4 linked regions of the Schizosaccharomyces pombe genome follow. The protein of the gene in region 1 interacts with the protein of each later gene in a biochemical or structural test. Each region holds a gene or a part of one and is shown in the gene's direction. Other genes may lie near its edges.

Region 1 (6,096 bases):
GAGGATCAGTGGGGATAAACTTGAATTGCACAGATAGCTCGCCAGCAAATTGGAACTCATTTTTTAGTTCATACCATTCACTTTGTAACTCTTCTTTCATCGCTTTCTCAAAAGACAATACAGTATCACCAATCAAGTGTGGATGCTTTCGAAATCCCTCGTGAAAAACGGTTATTTTCATAATATGATAAGATTCACTGGGAATGTTAAACTCCAGTACCGCATTCCACGATGGTTCTTGACCGCTTCTCTTATCCGTTTGCGTACGTTTTACCACCTCACCAACTCTGCAAACGCAGTAAGGGCTTTGTTTGCCCACTAGAGCCTTGTTTGGTAAATTTTTCTAAAGAAGACACGTTAGTTTTACAAAACAAATCTTCATCTTTTAAGACTTACAGCTTTCCATATTCGGACAACCAACGTTCCAAGAGGATTCTTTGACATATGGTAGATGGAGAAACGGGTTATAAACAAAAAAGCTACTTTATACAATTCGAGTGCGGATTTTAAGCAGTGCAGCGCAACTTCTGTAGGAGGGGGCTGGTTTGTCTCCGATAACGGGGGTTAGCTTTCGTTCATTCATTTAACGTAGCTTACTGCAATTTAAAATGCTTTAACGGAAATTTGTGTACGCTACGATATTGATGGCTCCAGTTAGGAAATTCGTGAAGAAAGATGCCGTGTTAAAAAAAATTAAAAATTAACAAAAAAAAAAAAAAAAAAAGAGAGACGAAAGTTATCGCAAACAAAAAGAACTTTATTAATATAACTAATTGCATTAATGATTGACTCAGTACACACCACACAAATATATTCACTTAATTTTAATTGTTTTAAAATGAGTGTAAAATATCTATTGGTATAACCAATTCCATCACAATTGCTAATTGAATGGAATGATTTGCATAAAATGTTTCTAACTTAATTTTTTTATTCTTTTATGTTTCACGAATACAAATTTATTTTGTTTTTAAAAAACTTCATTTTCTTTGCTTATCTTTTGGGTAGTTTTCGGATCCGTAATCCCAACAAAATGCCAACCCGTATTGACTAATAAGTTCCCGAAAATGTAAGCAAAAGATTTCATTGTAAAACAAATGAATTAGCTATTAAAACTGTTATTTAAATGTTGTAAGGGTTGGTATGTTATATATACAATCTAAGTCTATGTAAAGACTTTTTGAAAGATCCTACTGTACAGAATTCTCCATAATTGAATTCGTGACAAGTACTCATAATATTTGAAACTTGTATATTATTTCTGCGTATAACCTATCTTTATTTTTATTTTAATTTTATTTTTTACTTTATTTTATTTTATTTTATTTTATTTTTTCGTAGGTCTTCTGGAACTGCTGGATCTATTCATACATTGCTAATTACTCAGCGTACGTACACATCTTACAAACACGCAGAAGTCCAACCTAAAACACTTACCTACATACAACATAATATCAGAAATACACGCAACGATTTAGCTTCATCAAAGATATATTATTTATTCATTCATCGGTTAATATAAAATAAGCTTGAGTTAAGAGTGAAATAAGATTCATGGCACTATACACAAACTCACCATTTTTACTACATATTGCTAACATCATATTTGCTTAAAAAGCACGCACTCCATGATATACCAATAACATCCTACTTTCCGTCCATCCTTTCCCATTCCCCAAACTATCGATACGTTTCTTAACGATACGATAACACAAAATACAAAACTACACAGCAGTACTTTAAGTATCGTCTTGCTCGGTTTATTCCAGACCCATTTCCTTGTTACCCTTCTTCAGAGCCCCGCACGTGATTGGTTAAGTTCAATCATGCAAAGTGATGCAATGACGTCATCTGTTTGAAACAGGTGGAAGTGTGGCACTAGGAATTTACAACTTACCCTTTACTTACAACATAAGAAGAAAGAAACTACTTAGGAAATTGCTAAAAAGTTTACTTTGAGCACTTTTTGAACGATTGAATTGACGAAAACCATTTTTCTGTTTGTAAATTTCAGTTTGGACAGTTGACCGAGTCTTTTCATCATTTATACAGTAGTCATCGCTTAGTTGGATCTGAATTACGAATTCTCTGGTTCATGACGACGACCTGCTACTAGTACGTTTGGTTGATTAAGTCAAATAGGTATGTGTTTATACATGCAATTGTGAAGTTTGATTATGTAAAAGGCTGTAAAATTGGAAGAGCGTGATAAAAACGTGACGGGTTGTGTTGAAAACCGAATTTTTATGAAAATTTGAAAATTTGCTCCTATCGTCATTGACCCTACTAAACATGACGAGTATGACGCTTTCTTATCAATAACACTGATCGTTATGGGGTTGTTAGTTTACAGGAAACGTAAAATGTGTTTGGAATTCCTTCGTTTTTTGAGGGTTTGGAAATTTTTTTTTGGTGTTGTTGTGCTAGAAAATTTTACTTGTTACCATTGTAGGTTACTATTGCCTTGACTGAACTGGGATCTATGTGGTGGCAACTTTTGATGAATGATTTCTCGGAAGTGAATAAACGCACACGGGAAGAGAACAAGAGTAGAAAGGAAGCTAGAAGAGCGGAAAACCCGTTTTGTCTCGTTTTTGGCAAAAAAATTTCCAAAAAAGAAAAACGGGTGTTTTAGCAGGTGTATTTGCTGTTGAAGTACGAATCTCTTTATTACTCTACGCTTGACTGTACTCTCTCACATTAAGTTCTGAAACTCATTCAAAAAAGGCCTCCACATTCATATAATCCAAATCAACACACCCTAACAAAAACGATCGAACGAAGAAAAGGAAAAGAACAAAGAGTAGGAACATCCCTTTTATCTTTTGTAATTCTTTATTAGTTTCTTTGTTATTTTATTTGGACATGTTCTTTTACAAACTTGACTATTACCTTTGCGAGTTTTTTTTTACCCTTTGTAGAATATCTTCCTTCACAATCTTGCATATCTAGTCTTCTAGCTTTGCCTGTACAGACATCTAACTAATTCTCGTCTAGAGCCTCCGTCGCGGTTTTCCCTTTTTTTTTCGAGAAAGTTGTATTTTTATCTCCTTAATCTCCTCCTCCTTTTTTTTTCTTTTCTTTTTTATTGAAACAATATAGTTTCTATTTTTTCTGCTTTATCAGCCGTTATTACTTCTGTCTTGTCAAATTTGGAAAGCCATTAATTTCTTGTAGTTGTTTTTTTATTTAGTTTTGACAAAACTATTTTCGATCTTCTCTTTAAACGGGTTCATCTATATATCTAAATTATTTATTTTCGTTATTTAAGCGTGTGTGATTTTTAACGTCATCTCTTAATACATTTTGTCAAGTGTTAAAGCATAAATTCTTCAATTATGTCCCCGTCTCCCGTCAATACTTCCACAGAACCAGCATCTGTTGCCGCTGTTTCAAATGGTAATGCTACTGCTTCCAGTACTCAGGTTCCGGAAAACAATCAATCTGATTCATTTGCACCACCAAGCAACAATTCTCAGCAGAATCAACAGTCTTCAACTATCGCTCCTAATGGAGGGGCCGGATCTGTCGCTAATGCGAATCCAGCTGACCAATCCGATGGTGTAACTCCGTCTTTCGTAGGCTCCTTGAAGCTGGATTACGAACCCAACCCCTTTGAGCATTCATTTGGCTCTACCGCTTCGGTTGGACAAGGAAATCCTTCTCTTAATCGTAATCCTAGCCTTAGTAACATTCCTTCAGGTGTGCCTCCTGCGTTTGCGCGAACTCTCTTACCTCCTGTTTCTTCCATAGCATCACCTGATATCTTAAGTGGAGCTCCAGGTATTGCCTCGCCGTTGGGCTATCCTGCTTGGTCTGCTTTTACTCGTGGTACAATGCATAATCCCCTTTCTCCTGCTATTTATGATGCTACTCTTCGTCCTGACTACCTAAACAATCCTTCAGATGCATCTGCAGCAGCTAGATTTTCTAGTGGAACTGGATTTACTCCTGGTGTTAATGAACCCTTCCGATCTCTTTTAACCCCTACTGGAGCTGGATTTCCCGCTCCTTCACCTGGTACTGCCAATTTATTAGGGTTTCATACGTTTGATTCTCAATTTCCTGATCAATATCGTTTTACCCCAAGGGATGGTAAACCGCCTGTTGTAAATGGGACGAATGGTGACCAGTCTGATTATTTCGGTGCCAATGCTGCGGTTCATGGGTTATGCTTACTCTCCCAGGTTCCCGATCAGCAGCAAAAGCTTCAGCAACCCATCTCCTCTGAAAACGATCAAGCAGCATCCACCACTGCCAACAACCTCCTGAAGCAAACTCAGCAACAGACTTTCCCCGACTCTATCCGGCCATCTTTTACTCAAAATACTAACCCCCAAGCTGTTACAGGTACAATGAACCCTCAAGCATCTCGTACTCAGCAACAGCCTATGTACTTTATGGGGTCGCAACAATTTAACGGCATGCCATCTGTTTACGGCGATACAGTTAATCCTGCCGACCCTTCATTAACATTACGCCAAACCACGGACTTTTCCGGACAAAATGCCGAGAATGGATCCACAAATCTACCGCAAAAAACTTCTAATTCTGATATGCCAACGGCAAATTCGATGCCGGTCAAACTCGAAAATGGTACTGACTATTCCACTTCGCAAGAGCCTTCTAGTAATGCCAATAATCAATCCTCACCCACTTCTTCCATTAATGGTAAGGCTTCTAGTGAATCTGCCAACGGCACTTCGTATAGCAAAGGTTCATCTCGCCGGAATTCCAAAAACGAAACTGATGAAGAGAAACGTAAAAGCTTCCTGGAACGCAATCGACAAGCTGCTCTTAAATGTAGACAGCGTAAAAAACAATGGCTTTCTAATCTTCAAGCGAAGGTTGAATTTTATGGTAATGAAAATGAAATTTTAAGTGCACAAGTCAGTGCATTACGTGAGGAAATTGTGAGTTTGAAGACCTTATTGATTGCTCATAAAGACTGCCCAGTGGCCAAGAGTAATTCGGCTGCTGTTGCAACAAGTGTCATCGGAAGCGGTGATCTTGCTCAAAGAATCAATTTAGGGTACTAGACTGTTTTTGATCTGAAAAGGTCTCAGTCTGTGATGGTTGTAATGAAGAATAACGTTTTTACTTCCCTTTGACTTTCCCTCCGTTGAGGGTTGTAACGCCCTTTTCCATGCATTTAGCTATGTTATGGATGTGAAATTATATATGTTTATTTTACATTAAAAAATCTTTAGGCTTCTCTTTTTATATTTCTTCCCGTTTTCCATTACTGTTTTAATTTTGCACTGAACGCCGTCCCGCATGCATACTTTTAGTACTTTATGAAGTGATAAAATTTGTCTGTCGTGTCTAGTTCACTATAATATCGTTTGGACAACAAAAACTACACGCTTTCTTAATGTTTACCATTCATCACATGTGGCAGAGTTATAGAATACTACTTATAACTCATTCTTATGAGATTGATTTGATTTAATAATTAAAACTATATTATTTAGTAAGAATCAGCAGTGTTTTTAATAACAACTGATTACTGTTTTCCTTTAATGTAAGAAATCAACAAGTCTTAGTGTATTGTGGGAGTATTAATATCGTGAACAGTATATAAATCAAGTTAATGAATAGGTTTGTCATCGGTCATTTACATATCTATTATCATACGAACATGCATTCATAAGATGAAATCAAGTTAAAATTTGCACCTTCACAATATTTACTTTACTTAGTGAGTGTTTGTCGCTACATTGAGGATGTATACAAAAAGTGAAAATGAAATTACTGATGTTCACATTACAAAACGTATATAAAAATGCAAACGTTTGTTTCAATTTAGAACGAACTATTCAATTCTAACAACAATTAATAAAAAATAACAAATTAGAAAGCTTAATAAACATGAGATAAACTTGTTGAACGATTGATTAAACACAAATCTAATCATGCAACGTAAAAAAAAATAGACAACAATCAATCATCCAAAAATATATATTGCATAGATGTTGAATATTCAAACACTAAAAGAAAGTGTAGACATAATTAATTCACGAAGCTTTAGTATACAAATCAATGCTTATAATTTTTATCATTTGTTAAAAGATGGAAAAAAAAAACAAAGAAAAA
Region 2 (4,217 bases), on another chromosome or scaffold:
GATTTAGCTACTAAACAATCCCTCCAAGTTCCTCGTTTACGAACAATAAGTGCATTAATTTCGAGTATTCAACACCTTCCTCTCGTTCAACCACATCACATGAATGATATGCATGGGCCCACGGACAATTCACCTAAGAAAAACAAAGTTTTGGTTAATATGCGGCCTATTAATCCATCATCCTTCGTTTCTGATCGACATTCACCTTTACACCCATATTCTGTTCCCGAAAATGGTAAGCCAAATATGGGCAGAATTCCTTCTGCTCCGTCCCTTTCAAAAGGACGAGCAATGACTGCTGACAATATGGATATGTTGTCTCTTACAACTCGTCGCTCTAGACGTTCTTTGTATTCTCCTTCTTTGATGCAAATGCAACAGTCTTTAAAGAGTGATTATGAGGGCTTGGGTCGAACTTTTGATCCGCGTTTTGCTCCTCGAGGTTCACCTCCTGTTCGTGGTGGAAAAAACGTGTTATCCCCTGAAGCTAAAGAGCATACGCACAAGAATATATCACCTGAGTCATCAAGATTTGGTACGCCAAGTGATCCTAATTCGTCTTCTCAATCACTTGGAAATGAAGTATTGTCAAGACCAAATTCCAACTCTAATTCTGCGGAATCGCGAAACGGTGAAACTGATGACAGTGGTGAATCCGAAACGTATTTTACTCTCATGAACAACAATAAGGGAGTAGAACCTCGAGCTTCTGTGGCTTCTGAGACATCGTCAATGACGGTTATACCTAATGCGATGCGTCGCTTTCCGCTAGCTCGTGGAACTTCTCGCATGAAATCGTAGACCTCTCTTTCGGAGCCACAGTTTTCCTCATTCCTTTATCATTATAAAAGCATTGTCGTGTTAAACTTTTATTGATTTGAATTCTACTGACTCATTATTAAGCATTCTTTTGGGGATCACGTTATGTTTTTTTATTTTCTTCCGAACAATTTGCGCTAAGAATAACGCGTTAGCACTCATCGTATTGGGTTCATTTGCATCAAATTTATGAAGGCATAATTTCATTCTTTTTAATCTGGTCTATATTTTAAAAGTACTCTGTTTTTACCCCGTTTGGTTATCTCCGCCATGGAAGCAATTTGGTATAAGTCTATCATATATGTATATATATAACTTTTATTACATTTTGCATGTATCTTTGGCGAAGAATTCCATATAATACGTATCTTTAGTCTATCTGCTCACTGAGCCGTATGGTAATTTCGGCATCACATTCTTTTTTTTTTCGATTTTCCCTTCTTTTAATTTTTGTCCTTTTATTGAATTGATTTTTTATTGAAACATACATTTAACGTAGTATTGTGTCCTATTTCCTCGTAGACTTTAAATGGTATTTGTCCAAACTTTTTTAATTAAAAATTTTTTAATAAAGTAAAAGGAAAATTGAAATGGAAAATGACTTGTTGCACCTAATTATCCTTGGTTATTTCGTCCCAAAATGTGGAAGGTACAGACCCGATTAATGCCTAATCGTGAAACCATAATATTAACAACTCGCTAAGAAATCAAAACGCGGACGCTGGGCTAATAGAGGCAAACAAGCAAATTAACTACGAAATCGAGCATTATGGATCAAATGAAATGTCAGATCTATAATTGAACGGGTTTTTCAACAGTAACTGTTGTCAAAAGACAAATTGGGTTAGCTTACAAGACTTTTTCCTTGAAACACACATTTCAATAATGAATACTAGCTCAAATAGCTAAAAAAGTTGATCTAATAAAGCTGGCTTAACAACTTTACCAACTAACCCATCTCAGATCTGGACAACAAAGCCTTGGTAAGAGTAGAAGGAGTGGTCACTTTGGTGTTTATCGTCGTCAGTTGTTATCAAAAGTAGTAGTACTTTAAATTGTTTAATACATTTTAAAAACATCGTTAAACCGGCGGAACTTCATTCTTTGAGGTTCTGGATGCTGAAGCGCAAGTTCACTGTAGTGCGGTGTGCACTTAATCACAGCTACATACCTCCTTACCACAACTTAACCAGAGCACTTCATTGCTTATTACAAGCAAACACCACAATCTGTTTAACGGAATACGAGGTCCGATACCGACGATTGTTATCGTAATTATTATAAAGCTTGGCACTTCGCAGCGTTGTTGGGAACTTGTAAAAAGAAGAGAAAGTTACTTTTCGATATAGACGAAGGACGCTTAAATTTTTGAGATTATTGTTGAATAGTCCTTTTTGTAACCAGTTTGAATAAAATGGCAGAATTTATTCGTACACAAATATTCGGTACATGTTTTGAAATTACCACTAGATATAGCGACTTACAGCCGATTGGCATGGGCGCCTTTGGCCTCGTTTGTTCAGCGAAGGATCAGCTAACTGGAATGAATGTCGCTGTTAAGAAAATTATGAAACCCTTTAGTACTCCGGTACTGGCAAAACGTACCTATCGGGAATTAAAACTATTAAAGCATTTAAGGCATGAGAATATTATTAGCTTGAGCGATATTTTTATTTCTCCCTTTGAAGATATTTATTTTGTCACGGAGCTTCTGGGAACAGATCTTCATAGACTACTTACATCGCGACCTTTAGAGACGCAATTTATACAATACTTCTTATACCAAATCTTGCGAGGGCTCAAGTTTGTTCATTCTGCCGGTGTTATTCACCGTGATCTGAAACCCAGTAACATCTTAATTAACGAAAATTGCGATTTAAAAATCTGCGATTTCGGTTTGGCTCGTATTCAAGACCCTCAAATGACGGGCTATGTTTCTACTCGTTATTACCGTGCACCTGAGATTATGTTAACTTGGCAAAAGTACAACGTCGAAGTTGATATTTGGAGTGCGGGTTGTATTTTTGCTGAGATGATTGAAGGAAAACCCTTGTTTCCCGGCCGAGACCACGTTAACCAGTTTTCTATAATCACGGAATTGTTGGGAACGCCGCCTATGGAAGTAATTGAGACGATTTGCAGTAAAAACACACTTCGCTTTGTTCAATCATTGCCTCAAAAGGAGAAAGTTCCTTTTGCTGAAAAGTTCAAAAACGCCGATCCAGATGCTATTGATCTGTTAGAAAAAATGCTTGTCTTTGATCCTCGTAAGCGTATTAGTGCTGCTGATGCTTTGGCTCATAACTATCTTGCTCCATACCATGATCCTACTGATGAGCCTGTTGCTGATGAAGTTTTTGACTGGTCATTCCAAGATAATGATTTACCTGTGGAGACTTGGAAGGTCATGATGTACTCCGAGGTTTTGTCGTTTCACAACATGGATAATGAACTGCAATCCTAAACAAGTTGTAGATAAAGCCTTAAAAGTTGTTCTCGGGGTATGTTATGATTACTCTATTTTGTTCACGTGTATCATATTTATATCATCTCGGTTCCATGGAATTTTAGGCTTTTCTATTATTCTAATGGTCATCGGGTTTTTAATCCTCCGTTTAATTATAAATTACAATTGCGATTTTCAAGTGTGGTGTTTTTTCTCGCCACTCCTTTTCTAAAATATTTTGAAATTCAAATTTTTATCCTTTTTTTTCGGATATGGTAATGCGATGGCCCATGAAAATTATTTCCAACTTCCTCTTTCCAAGTAATGAACATATATACCTTCCTCTTCTTGTTTTGACTACAAATTCAGAAGTTGAATAAATCACCGAACTTCTCTTTTTGAAAGAAAAAAAAAAAAAAAAAAAAAAAAAAAAGCCATTATAATAGTTACCCATCTAGGTTTATAATGCTAATCTGTATGATTTAGTTTTTAAGTTCGTTAATGTAGTTACGGGTTTTATAATAAGTAGTGTATTTATTAATTTTTAACTTTTATTATTTATACAACAAGATTTTGGACATCTTGTGTACATGAAGTTAAATAAAAATCTTAAAAACGTTAAAAAAAATCATAGTCATCTAGGAATTACTTCATAAAACATAAAAACTTAGCAAATGCGAAGTGTATCTTCATAATCAAAAAAAGAGCTATGAATAAACAGTATCGTAAAAATAATTAAAAGGAAGAACAAATAATTTTTCCAATTAAAACTAGTTAGAGGTGATGGAGAAAGGAGAGGCTAAAACGTTAAAAGAGAAATTGGGCTCAAAACAGACGTGCTTGAAGCAACATAAATACAAAAAGGAGATTGACAGTGACAACAAATCTCCCGTTCTATGAAAAAGGGGATTAAAAAATGAAGAAGATGTTGATTAAAAATGCACGTTCAATT
Region 3 (4,320 bases), 1.1 Mb from region 1:
TACTCCTGTCTATGGACTTTGATAATTTAACTAGAGACCGTTTATTAAGTTTGCAAATACTGTTACAATTTTTTGAGTCTTGTTGGACTGGTGTGCTCTTGAATAAGTTTCACTCCCGTCAATATCTTTTCCTTTCTCGTGATTTGGTAGAAGATTTGAGTTTGAGAGTATGGGAGTATGTGTATTCTCATAATCATAATGAAGAATCTGTATAATTATGAACTACGTTTATTAATTATATGATATGCTAATGGGCTGAATGGTTTCCAAAAATCTTTTCCATCATATCAATCCTTCAAAAGGAAAATTGAAGTTTAAAAAAATAGAACCCCTTAAAATTAACGACTTGTATAAATACCTTAATGTCTCAATTAATATACAAGGTGGCATATCCAATGCAACACTTTTTTCACGATCATGATTAATAGCTATCTTCAAATAATGGTTTGTTAAAAGGAAATCGAAGTTAATAATAAATTGTTAATTGGAATACTGATGCTCAAACTATTTCACTGGGCAAAGTAAAAAGAATATTATTGCGACAACTACTAAGCACCCATGGTTCTTCAAGGGGTAATACCGCCTGTCTCAAGGCGCCGTTGAAAATAGATTAGCTTTTTTATCCTTTTTCTATATCTTTTCCCTCCTTTCGTTAATTAATTGATTTAAGCATGACACTTCGAGCTACTAACTAACACTATATCGTTGTATGCTGTTTACATAAGTTCTTGATGTTCGAATCTATGACTTTCGAGTAACGGTTCCAAATATTATAATTTAATGAATTACACCCGATAATTAATACACTGTATTAAACCATCTAAATCCACCTGACGAATTCAATCTTAAAATTTAAATAGAAGTCTTTAAATCCGACATGCACTGAGATGCTGAAGTTTTGTAACGATCTACATTAAATTCCCCTATTATAATTTACGTACGATTATTCGCCTCATTAAAAATTCCTTCGTTTTTGAGGGGTAGTAAGGGCATGACTTCAACCTTGCATCCTATGACACAACACTTCTTTCGTTAGCAAAACACAAATTGAAGCTTGCGAACGCATAGGAAGTGTGAATAGCTCGTTTCTCGAAAGCCGCTAATTCTACAAAAGCTTTCTGTATCAAAAAGACTTGTAGTTTTACTTAATACACCTTTGGTTCTGCGCTAAGAGTGAAAGGCTCAGTATTGTTGTGAAAACCGTGAATCTGTAACGTCGGTTTATGTTAATTTGTATTTTTGAACGCTTGCTATAACTATTGTTATCTATTTTTGTCTGCTATAGATTATCTTTGAAGGACTCAGAGTCGATTTAGCTTATCTTCTTATTTTTTGTCTCAGGTGTATCGAATTATCGTTCGTGTTCATTTGTACTTTTGGAATAACAGTTTGTTAGACATTAAGTTGCTTCCAATTTTACTTTGAAGGATTTCGTTTGCCCGGATTGATTGAGCAAACGAGTATTATTTGTCTTTATTCTTGTTGGGTTTTTACTTGTGTTGAGCGACTGGAATTTCACTTAAAATAGTTTCTTTTCTGCCGCTGTCCTCTTTATTTTAATAAATTATTTAGAGGAAGTAAATTTCGCTCTTTCTATCTACGCTGATTCTTTATTTATTTTTGCTTCGCTATAATAAGCAGCGCACCAAAAAAGAACTCTAAGATTACTGCTATTGTTGCGGTTTATATACATATATTCGAAGGTTGTTCAAAGGTAACGACCTTTTTGCCTCGACCTCTTTTAACCTTATTCTTGTTTTCGGGTACTTTATAAGTTTGACGAACGATTAGTGAATTTTAATTATCTTTTCGTGTATAAACGCTATTTCACATTTGTACTCATGGATACGACTGCCGTTGCTTCCAAAGGAAGTACTAACGTGGGTTCTTCAACTGACACTCTATCTACAAGTGCCTCTTTGCATCCATCTATGAATGCCGGCAGCGTTAATGAATATTCGGAACAGCAGCGACATGGAACAAATTCTTTTAATGGCAAACCCTCTGTTCATGATTCTGTTGGTAGTGATGCAAGTGTAAGCAATGGTCATAATAACCATAATGAATCAAGTCTGTGGACTTCGGGCATCCCTAAAGCTTTGGAAGAGGCCACGAAAAGCAAAAAACCCGACAGCTTGGTTAGCACCAGTACGTCTGGCTGTGCAAGTGCCCATTCTGTTGGTTACCAAAACATCGATAATTTGATCCCTTCACCTCTTCCTGAAAGCGCGAGTAGAAGTAGTAGCCAAAGCAGCCATCAAAGACATTCGCGGGACGGTCGTGGTGAACTAGGTTCAGAACACGGAGAGAGACGGTCAGCTATGGATGGGCTACGCGATCGCCATATTCGTAAAGTTCGGGTTAGTCAGCTGCTCGATTTACAGCGTCGAAGGATTCGTCCTGCTGACCACACCACAAAAGATCGATATGGAATACAAGATTTCAATTTCTTACAAACATTGGGCACTGGCTCGTTTGGTCGAGTTCATCTCGTTCAGTCGAATCACAATCGCCTGTATTACGCCATCAAGGTTTTAGAAAAGAAAAAAATCGTTGATATGAAGCAAATAGAGCACACTTGCGATGAGAGATACATTTTATCCCGTGTCCAACACCCGTTCATTACCATTCTATGGGGTACTTTCCAAGATGCCAAAAATCTGTTTATGGTCATGGATTTTGCTGAAGGAGGAGAGCTTTTTTCTTTGCTTCGTAAATGTCATCGATTTCCCGAAAAAGTTGCCAAATTTTATGCAGCAGAAGTGATCCTTGCTCTTGATTATCTTCACCACAATCAAATCGTATATCGAGATTTAAAACCCGAAAATCTTCTTCTTGACCGGTTTGGTCATTTGAAAATTGTGGACTTTGGTTTTGCCAAACGCGTCTCTACTAGCAACTGTTGTACTCTTTGTGGTACCCCCGATTATTTAGCCCCGGAAATCATATCTTTAAAACCGTACAACAAAGCTGCAGATTGGTGGTCCCTTGGTATTCTTATCTTTGAAATGCTTGCGGGTTATCCTCCATTTTACTCTGAGAATCCAATGAAGTTGTATGAGAATATCCTTGAAGGCAAGGTCAACTATCCATCGTACTTTTCTCCTGCTAGTATTGATTTGTTGAGCCATTTACTTCAGCGAGACATAACCTGCCGCTATGGAAATTTGAAAGATGGTAGCATGGATATTATTATGCACCCTTGGTTCCGTGATATCAGCTGGGACAAGATCCTTACTCGGAAAATTGAGGTTCCGTATGTTCCTCCCATTCAAGCTGGAATGGGTGATTCCAGTCAATTTGACGCTTATGCTGATGTAGCTACGGATTATGGAACATCTGAAGATCCTGAATTTACTTCTATCTTTAAGGACTTTTGATGTTTTGTGCCACGTTTGTTTTGTTTTAAGATACTCGAATGCTTATTGATTCATTGTACTATTGCCTTAAAGCGTTGAGCAACGAATGCCTATTTGATTTAGTGCAATGCAAGTGACGTTTGTAGCACTGATTTTGCAATTCACCAATATTGGCTTCAGTTTTTTGTGCTGGTGTAATGGACCGACTTTATGTTTGGATGGGATATGATGATCTCAGTTGAAGCTATTTATTTTGATGTTTTTCCAGGCAATTAGCCTGCTCTGATGTATTTCCACTCCATTTTATTTATATATTCTGTTTTTTTATGGTTATGTTAAACCCCAAGTCATTTCTTCTTCATGTTGAACAGACAAAAGAGCATTGTTTGTTGAAACTGTGCAACAACTAGATACATATATCCGCTAATAATCATTGAATTTCCTTGTATCTATAATTAATGGTGGTTTCATTCGTAATTGGTTGGTAAATTATTTTGTTGAATAAATAATAATGTAAAATGATAAAAGAATCTATCAGTATATAAGACATATTACAAATTATAAATATTAGTCTAAATTTTTCAAAATCACACACTTAGCGTAAATGTTCGTCCTTAATCATCGCGGTCCTAAGCACAGGCTCCCAAAAAGTAATAGTTACCATATTCAATCCACATTAACAGGTAAGCTTTCGAAAATCTTCTTTATAAGCTATAAGAAATTTGTGCCAAACAGTTAACTCATTAGCATGACAGTCAATAAATATTATAATTAGCATCGGCGATAGATAAAAAGACAAGAAAAGTCAAAAGAGTTTTGTTTTTAAGAGTTTTTAGCTCTTTGTAAAAGTGGTAAATACTACATAATTCTTTCCCACCCAGGAATAATATTTGTTTGCAACGACGAAGGATCATTATCTCCCTGAACATTTTCAACATGATTTTCACGAAGGAATTGTACA
Region 4 (4,693 bases), 820 kb from region 1:
AAGGGGAAAAGCCTCGCACCGTTGATCTCTTCTAGGGTTTCAACGAATGATACAACTAATGTTGCCGGTATTCGAAGCCAAAGATCATTTACTACTCATATCGATTTGAAAAAGCTTACCACGAGGCAAAATGGCGCAAAAAAATCATCGTATACTGGAACTAATCCATGCGTCTTAAATTATTTAAATAAAATTTATGCAGAAGCAGCGGCTTCGACACTTAACGTTGGTGCTGCTGTTTCACCAAGCTGGGCTTCTAATATACCTTTGCGTCGTAGAACAAAGGTGTCTGCGAAGGCTGCGAATAAAATAGTTCAGACTCATGAATGGCATCCAGAAGGATCACGAGTTGCTCAGATATATTTAGGAAGCCTTCTTGATGGAGGTACGAAGAAAGTTTTGGTTAGTCCAGATTCATCTTTTTTCGTTACCTTGGGATCTGACGGTGTTGTAAGAGCATGGCAATTAGTTGAAAGTGTTCGTCATATTTCAACTATGAGATGTGAATGCCGATTAAGTTATGGGCATACGCGACGTAATGGCGAGAGGAATAGATTTTCTGTGGTCAATGGATGCTTTCTAGGTAATACATACGCTTTTGCTTCTGTTACTCAAGATGGCTCTGTGGAAGTTCACAGACTTGACGTTAACAATCAGCGGCATACTCTAATTTCGGCTGGTCGTATTCCCAATTTGGATTTCAGTGATTCTGTAACCTCCATGGAAGCTTCTACATTTCACGACGGGAGTATCCGTCTAGTCGTTGTTACAAAATGGTCACGCATCGTATACTTAGACGTGGGAATGATGAGGGTTTTGTCATCAGACCAATTACCATTACAGTGTGGGTCAGCTACTAGTGTAGTAGTTTCTGAGGGTTGTAATTGGGCTTTAATTGGGACTACCAAAGGATGGCTCTTACTTTGGGACCTCCGCTTTGGGACATTATCATGCTCTTGGCATATGCCAGCCAGGATTGATCAGATGCATCTTCTTTTAGATGTTACCAAAAAACGTAGCAACGTTAATGAGTATACTTCCGGAAATAACAATAGTCCCGTTACCAAGGTTCCAGGTAGCTCAAGTACAAGTTCAAGTAGTACTCAGCCAATTAACTCTACTATTCCCATCAATCCTTTAGAAAATCACGGAATGTTAAACTCGTTTGGAAGCACTACAGTCAGTATCAGTTTTAGCGTCCTTACCAACTTGGATAATAAAGAAGTTAATCTTGAAGATGCAGTTCCAGCGAGTCACAGATCCGCTTCAGGCATAGTAAATTTTGACGTTGAAAAAGGGAAAACCGAAGAGGTTTTCTTAGAAAACTGGAATTCTTCACTCACCAGTCCGATTCCGGTATCTGTTGGAATTGATGCTTTTAATGAAAAAAAAAAGTTTGATATAGATTCTGGCAATGACATGGGATTAAGAGATTTGAATACCAAATTCGACTCTCCTTGGCCTTGTATATCTAGTCCAATCTATAGGTACAGAGGTCCGTCTGCAGGTTCTGTCGAACGAGAGCCACTTTTTCTCATTGCCGCTTCTGGAAGCCCTCATGCGTTTATTTGGAATCCCCACAATGTCTCTGCTAGTTCGTCGGTGACCAACGACTCCGAGAGTTCAAAACTATCTTTAATACATAACAAACCTCCTATCTACCAAAAAGTCTCTGAACAACAGAATGTACGCCCAAAGTCTTCGGGAGTGTCAAGGCCTCTTCTATTCCTTCAACAGCAAAAGAATCTACCTAGCGAAAATCGTCTGCACCCCATCGTTGACATGGCCTTCTTGTACCAACCGTACGCTATAGTGCTTATTGTTGACGCTTTTGGTAGTCTTGAACTCTGGACCTAGTTTCTTTTAGTATTCCTCATATATTTATTAGATTTGTATGCATATTCTTTAATACCATAAATTCCATCTGATAGTCTTCAAATCTAACCGACTTGCATTCAAATAGTGAAATATAAGGCATCGTTAATCACTACAAGTGATGTACTGTAGTTTTTTCCACATCCCTTTTGCCAAACAGCTAAAAATTCAAGTTGCATGCTATAAGTCGCAAGGATGGACCGTCGACATCGTGTTTACCGTGTGTTTAACCAGGAGATGTATGTCGAGCCTAATTTTAAGGTATGAGATATTTGGGTAACTGCTGCATTTGCAAAACATTTTGTTTACTTGACAGAAAATCGCATCTGCTTGAACTTTTAGGAAAACTAACATAGTTTAGGTAGTGAAGGAGTTGGGTCAAGGCGCTTACGGCATTGTTTGTGCAGCAAGAAACGTGGCTAGCAAAGATCAAGAGGCTGTAGCCATAAAAAAAATTACGAATGTGTTTTCTAAATCCATTCTTACAAAAAGAGCTTTGAGAGAGATAAAACTGCTGATTCATTTTCGTAATCATCGTAACGTAAGTCTTTTATGCAAAAACGGCTTCCTGTGATTGATTACTCATCATCACCGGGATGTATTAACGAGGTGCATTTTGATGAAAATGCAAATTTTTATACAATGAAAAGTCTTCTATGAGAAATGAGTTCTAATCATCCTTGAAAAGTATTTCCTTTATAAATCTTGATATAATGTTTGGAATTCGGTTGATTAAAAAATTTGAACTGCTCATTGTCTTACATTTGCATAGTGATGTCTTTCCTATTTTTTATAAACTTTACTAACATGGTAGATTACTTGCATTTACGATCTCGACATTATAAATCCATACAATTTTAATGAAGTTTACATTTACGAAGAGTTGGTATGTTACGCGATGATCCACATATGGTGTCTGTTTTAGTCACGGAAATATTTGTATAATTACTTACTAACTATTATAATAGATGGAGGCCGATTTGAATGCTATTATTAAATCCGGTCAGCCATTAACGGATGCGCATTTTCAATCATTCATTTACCAGATACTTTGTGGTTTAAAGTATATTCATTCTGCCAACGTTATTCATCGTGACTTAAAGCCAGGTAATCTTTTAGTTAACGCTGATTGTGAGCTGAAAATTTGCGATTTTGGCCTCGCTCGCGGATGTTCTGAAAATCCAGAAGAAAATCCTGGTTTTATGACGGAGTATGTGGCAACGCGCTGGTACAGAGCTCCGGAAATTATGCTTTCGTTCAGCAGCTATCATAAAGGTATTGATGTTTGGAGTGTTGGTTGCATTTTGGCAGAGCTATTAGGTGGAACCCCTTTGTTTAAGGGAAAAGATTTTGTTCATCAGTTAAATTTAATTTTGCATCAACTTGGCACACCTGATGAGGAAACCCTGTCTCATATAAGCAGTTCCCGTGCACAGGAGTATGTTCGAAGCTTGCCAAAGCAAAGACCTATTCCTTTTGAAACCAATTTTCCTAAAGCCAATCCTTTGGCTCTTGACCTGCTTGCTAAGCTCTTGGCTTTCGACCCCAACAGACGTATTTCGGTTGACGATGCTTTAGAACATCCCTATTTAGCTGTTTGGCATGATCCCTCTGACGAACCTGTGTGTGATTCCGTCTTTGATTTCAGCTTTGAATACATTGAGGATGCAAATGAGTTACGCCGTGTCATTTTAGATGAAGTTTTAAACTTCCGTCAGAAAGTCCGACGCCGCTCTCATCCAACAAACCCAACAGTCAACATCCCGCAACCAGCCCAAACCGTTCCATCTAATGACAATGGTTCTTTCAATGTTAGTAGCTCTTCATCCTCTCAAACCTCTAACAAAAAGCGCCATGATCATTCTTATAATGAAACTGCTGCTATAGACCATAAGTCTGATGATAATCGCCATAACTAATACATTGGCAGCAGCTGGTTTTATTGAGCCTTTTTACGGTAACATTTGCATACAAATCATTCATTGCGTTTTCTCATTTTTACATAAATTAGCTATTGCTATCTTTTGAGCTTTGCTGGCTACTGTCGAATCTCTGTTTGCTCGTTTAATTTCCATAAAAAATACTCATTTGCATTAGTCCTTCATTTACTGTTTTGCATATAATATTTGGCGATCTTTGTGCTCCCTTTTCTTGCACGCTTTATAGTCTCACAGCTTGAAACATTTTGTTATACATACATGCATGCATATACACCCGTACTACAACTAGAAAAATATATAAATAGAACAGCTAATTACTTAAAAATATTACTTTTACTAGTGAACGAGTATATCTGTGGTAGAGTAATTTCCTTTATTAGGGAACATCCCAATGAAATCACAAAACTAACTAACCAAGACAAAATAGATGAATAAATACATCAGTCATGAATTTGTATCCTGCAACAATTAAACAACATTCGTGCACAAGGATAGCTCTCTTCAAGTAGAAGCGTCTTATAATGAAATGCAAAGCGGTCGAATATGAAATTATGTGCATATTTTTATAAATCAGAAAAAATATGTAAGATGATATTCGAGACGCGAATGAAGTTTTACAATAGAAAGGGAAAGCCTTTACAAATACCTGCAAAAAAGGTCGTACAGATTCCGTTGTTTTTTGGGAAAGCAAATCATGATGCGCAAATCCTATATAAAAGGAACAGTTTTTTTTAGGAGAAAATTTTGGCAATTGCCGCTATGGCATCCATTACTAGCAATGAAATAAAGCAGAAGGCGGGCGACCTTGATTCCAGTAAAGGCTAACGGGAAAAATAAAAGGGAAAAACGACGTCACAAATAAGTGAACAAAAAGTCAT

What was found.
Region 2: of the proteins of atf1 (region 1) and sty1, one has a biochemical effect on the other in vitro, tested with the Schizosaccharomyces pombe proteins (5 studies listed by BioGRID).
Region 3: of the proteins of atf1 (region 1) and pka1, one has a biochemical effect on the other in vitro, tested with the Schizosaccharomyces pombe proteins (one study listed by BioGRID).
Region 4: of the proteins of atf1 (region 1) and pmk1, one has a biochemical effect on the other in vitro, tested with the Schizosaccharomyces pombe proteins (one study listed by BioGRID).

What each region holds. Positions count from the first base shown.
Region 1 is NC_003423.3:1,544,323-1,550,418, forward strand, and holds atf1 (Atf-CREB family transcription factor Atf1), read left to right. Parts: upstream 1-1,894; 5' UTR 1,895-2,142; exon of another isoform or gene 2,143-2,538; intron 2,539-2,997; 5' UTR 2,998-3,338; coding exon 3,339-5,039; 3' UTR 5,040-5,540; downstream 5,541-6,096. Other genes in the region: contractile ring-membrane anchor Fic1, read right to left, coding at 1-343, 397-444.
Region 2 is NC_003424.3:205,930-210,146, reverse strand, and holds sty1 (MAP kinase Sty1), read left to right. Parts: upstream 1-2,010; 5' UTR 2,011-2,233; coding exon 2,234-3,283; 3' UTR 3,284-3,671; downstream 3,672-4,217. Other genes in the region: SPOM_SPAC24B11.07C (oxidoreductase), read left to right, coding at 1-801. UniProt on the Schizosaccharomyces pombe protein: Proline-directed serine/threonine-protein kinase involved in a signal transduction pathway that is activated by changes in the osmolarity of the extracellular environment. Controls osmotic regulation of transcription of target genes.
Region 3 is NC_003423.3:395,151-399,470, forward strand, and holds pka1 (cAMP-dependent protein kinase catalytic subunit Pka1), read left to right. Parts: upstream 1-1,841; coding exon 1,842-3,380; 3' UTR 3,381-3,807; downstream 3,808-4,320. Other genes in the region: cut4 (anaphase-promoting complex platform subcomplex scaffold subunit Apc1), read left to right, coding at 1-215; plg7 (1-alkyl-2-acetylglycerophosphocholine esterase), read right to left, coding at 4,218-4,320.
Region 4 is NC_003423.3:728,790-733,482, forward strand, and holds pmk1 (MAP kinase Pmk1), read left to right. Parts: upstream 1-2,026; 5' UTR 2,027-2,070; coding exon 2,071-2,136; exon of another isoform or gene 2,137-2,236; coding exon 2,237-2,416; intron 2,417-2,689; coding exon 2,690-2,761; intron 2,762-2,843; coding exon 2,844-3,794; 3' UTR 3,795-4,163; downstream 4,164-4,693. Other genes in the region: serine/threonine protein kinase Vps15, read left to right, coding at 1-1,857. UniProt on the Schizosaccharomyces pombe protein: Regulates cell integrity and functions coordinately with the protein kinase C pathway (pck1 and pck2). Involved the regulation of wall architecture, cell shape, cytokinesis in exponential and stationary phase, and metabolism of ions.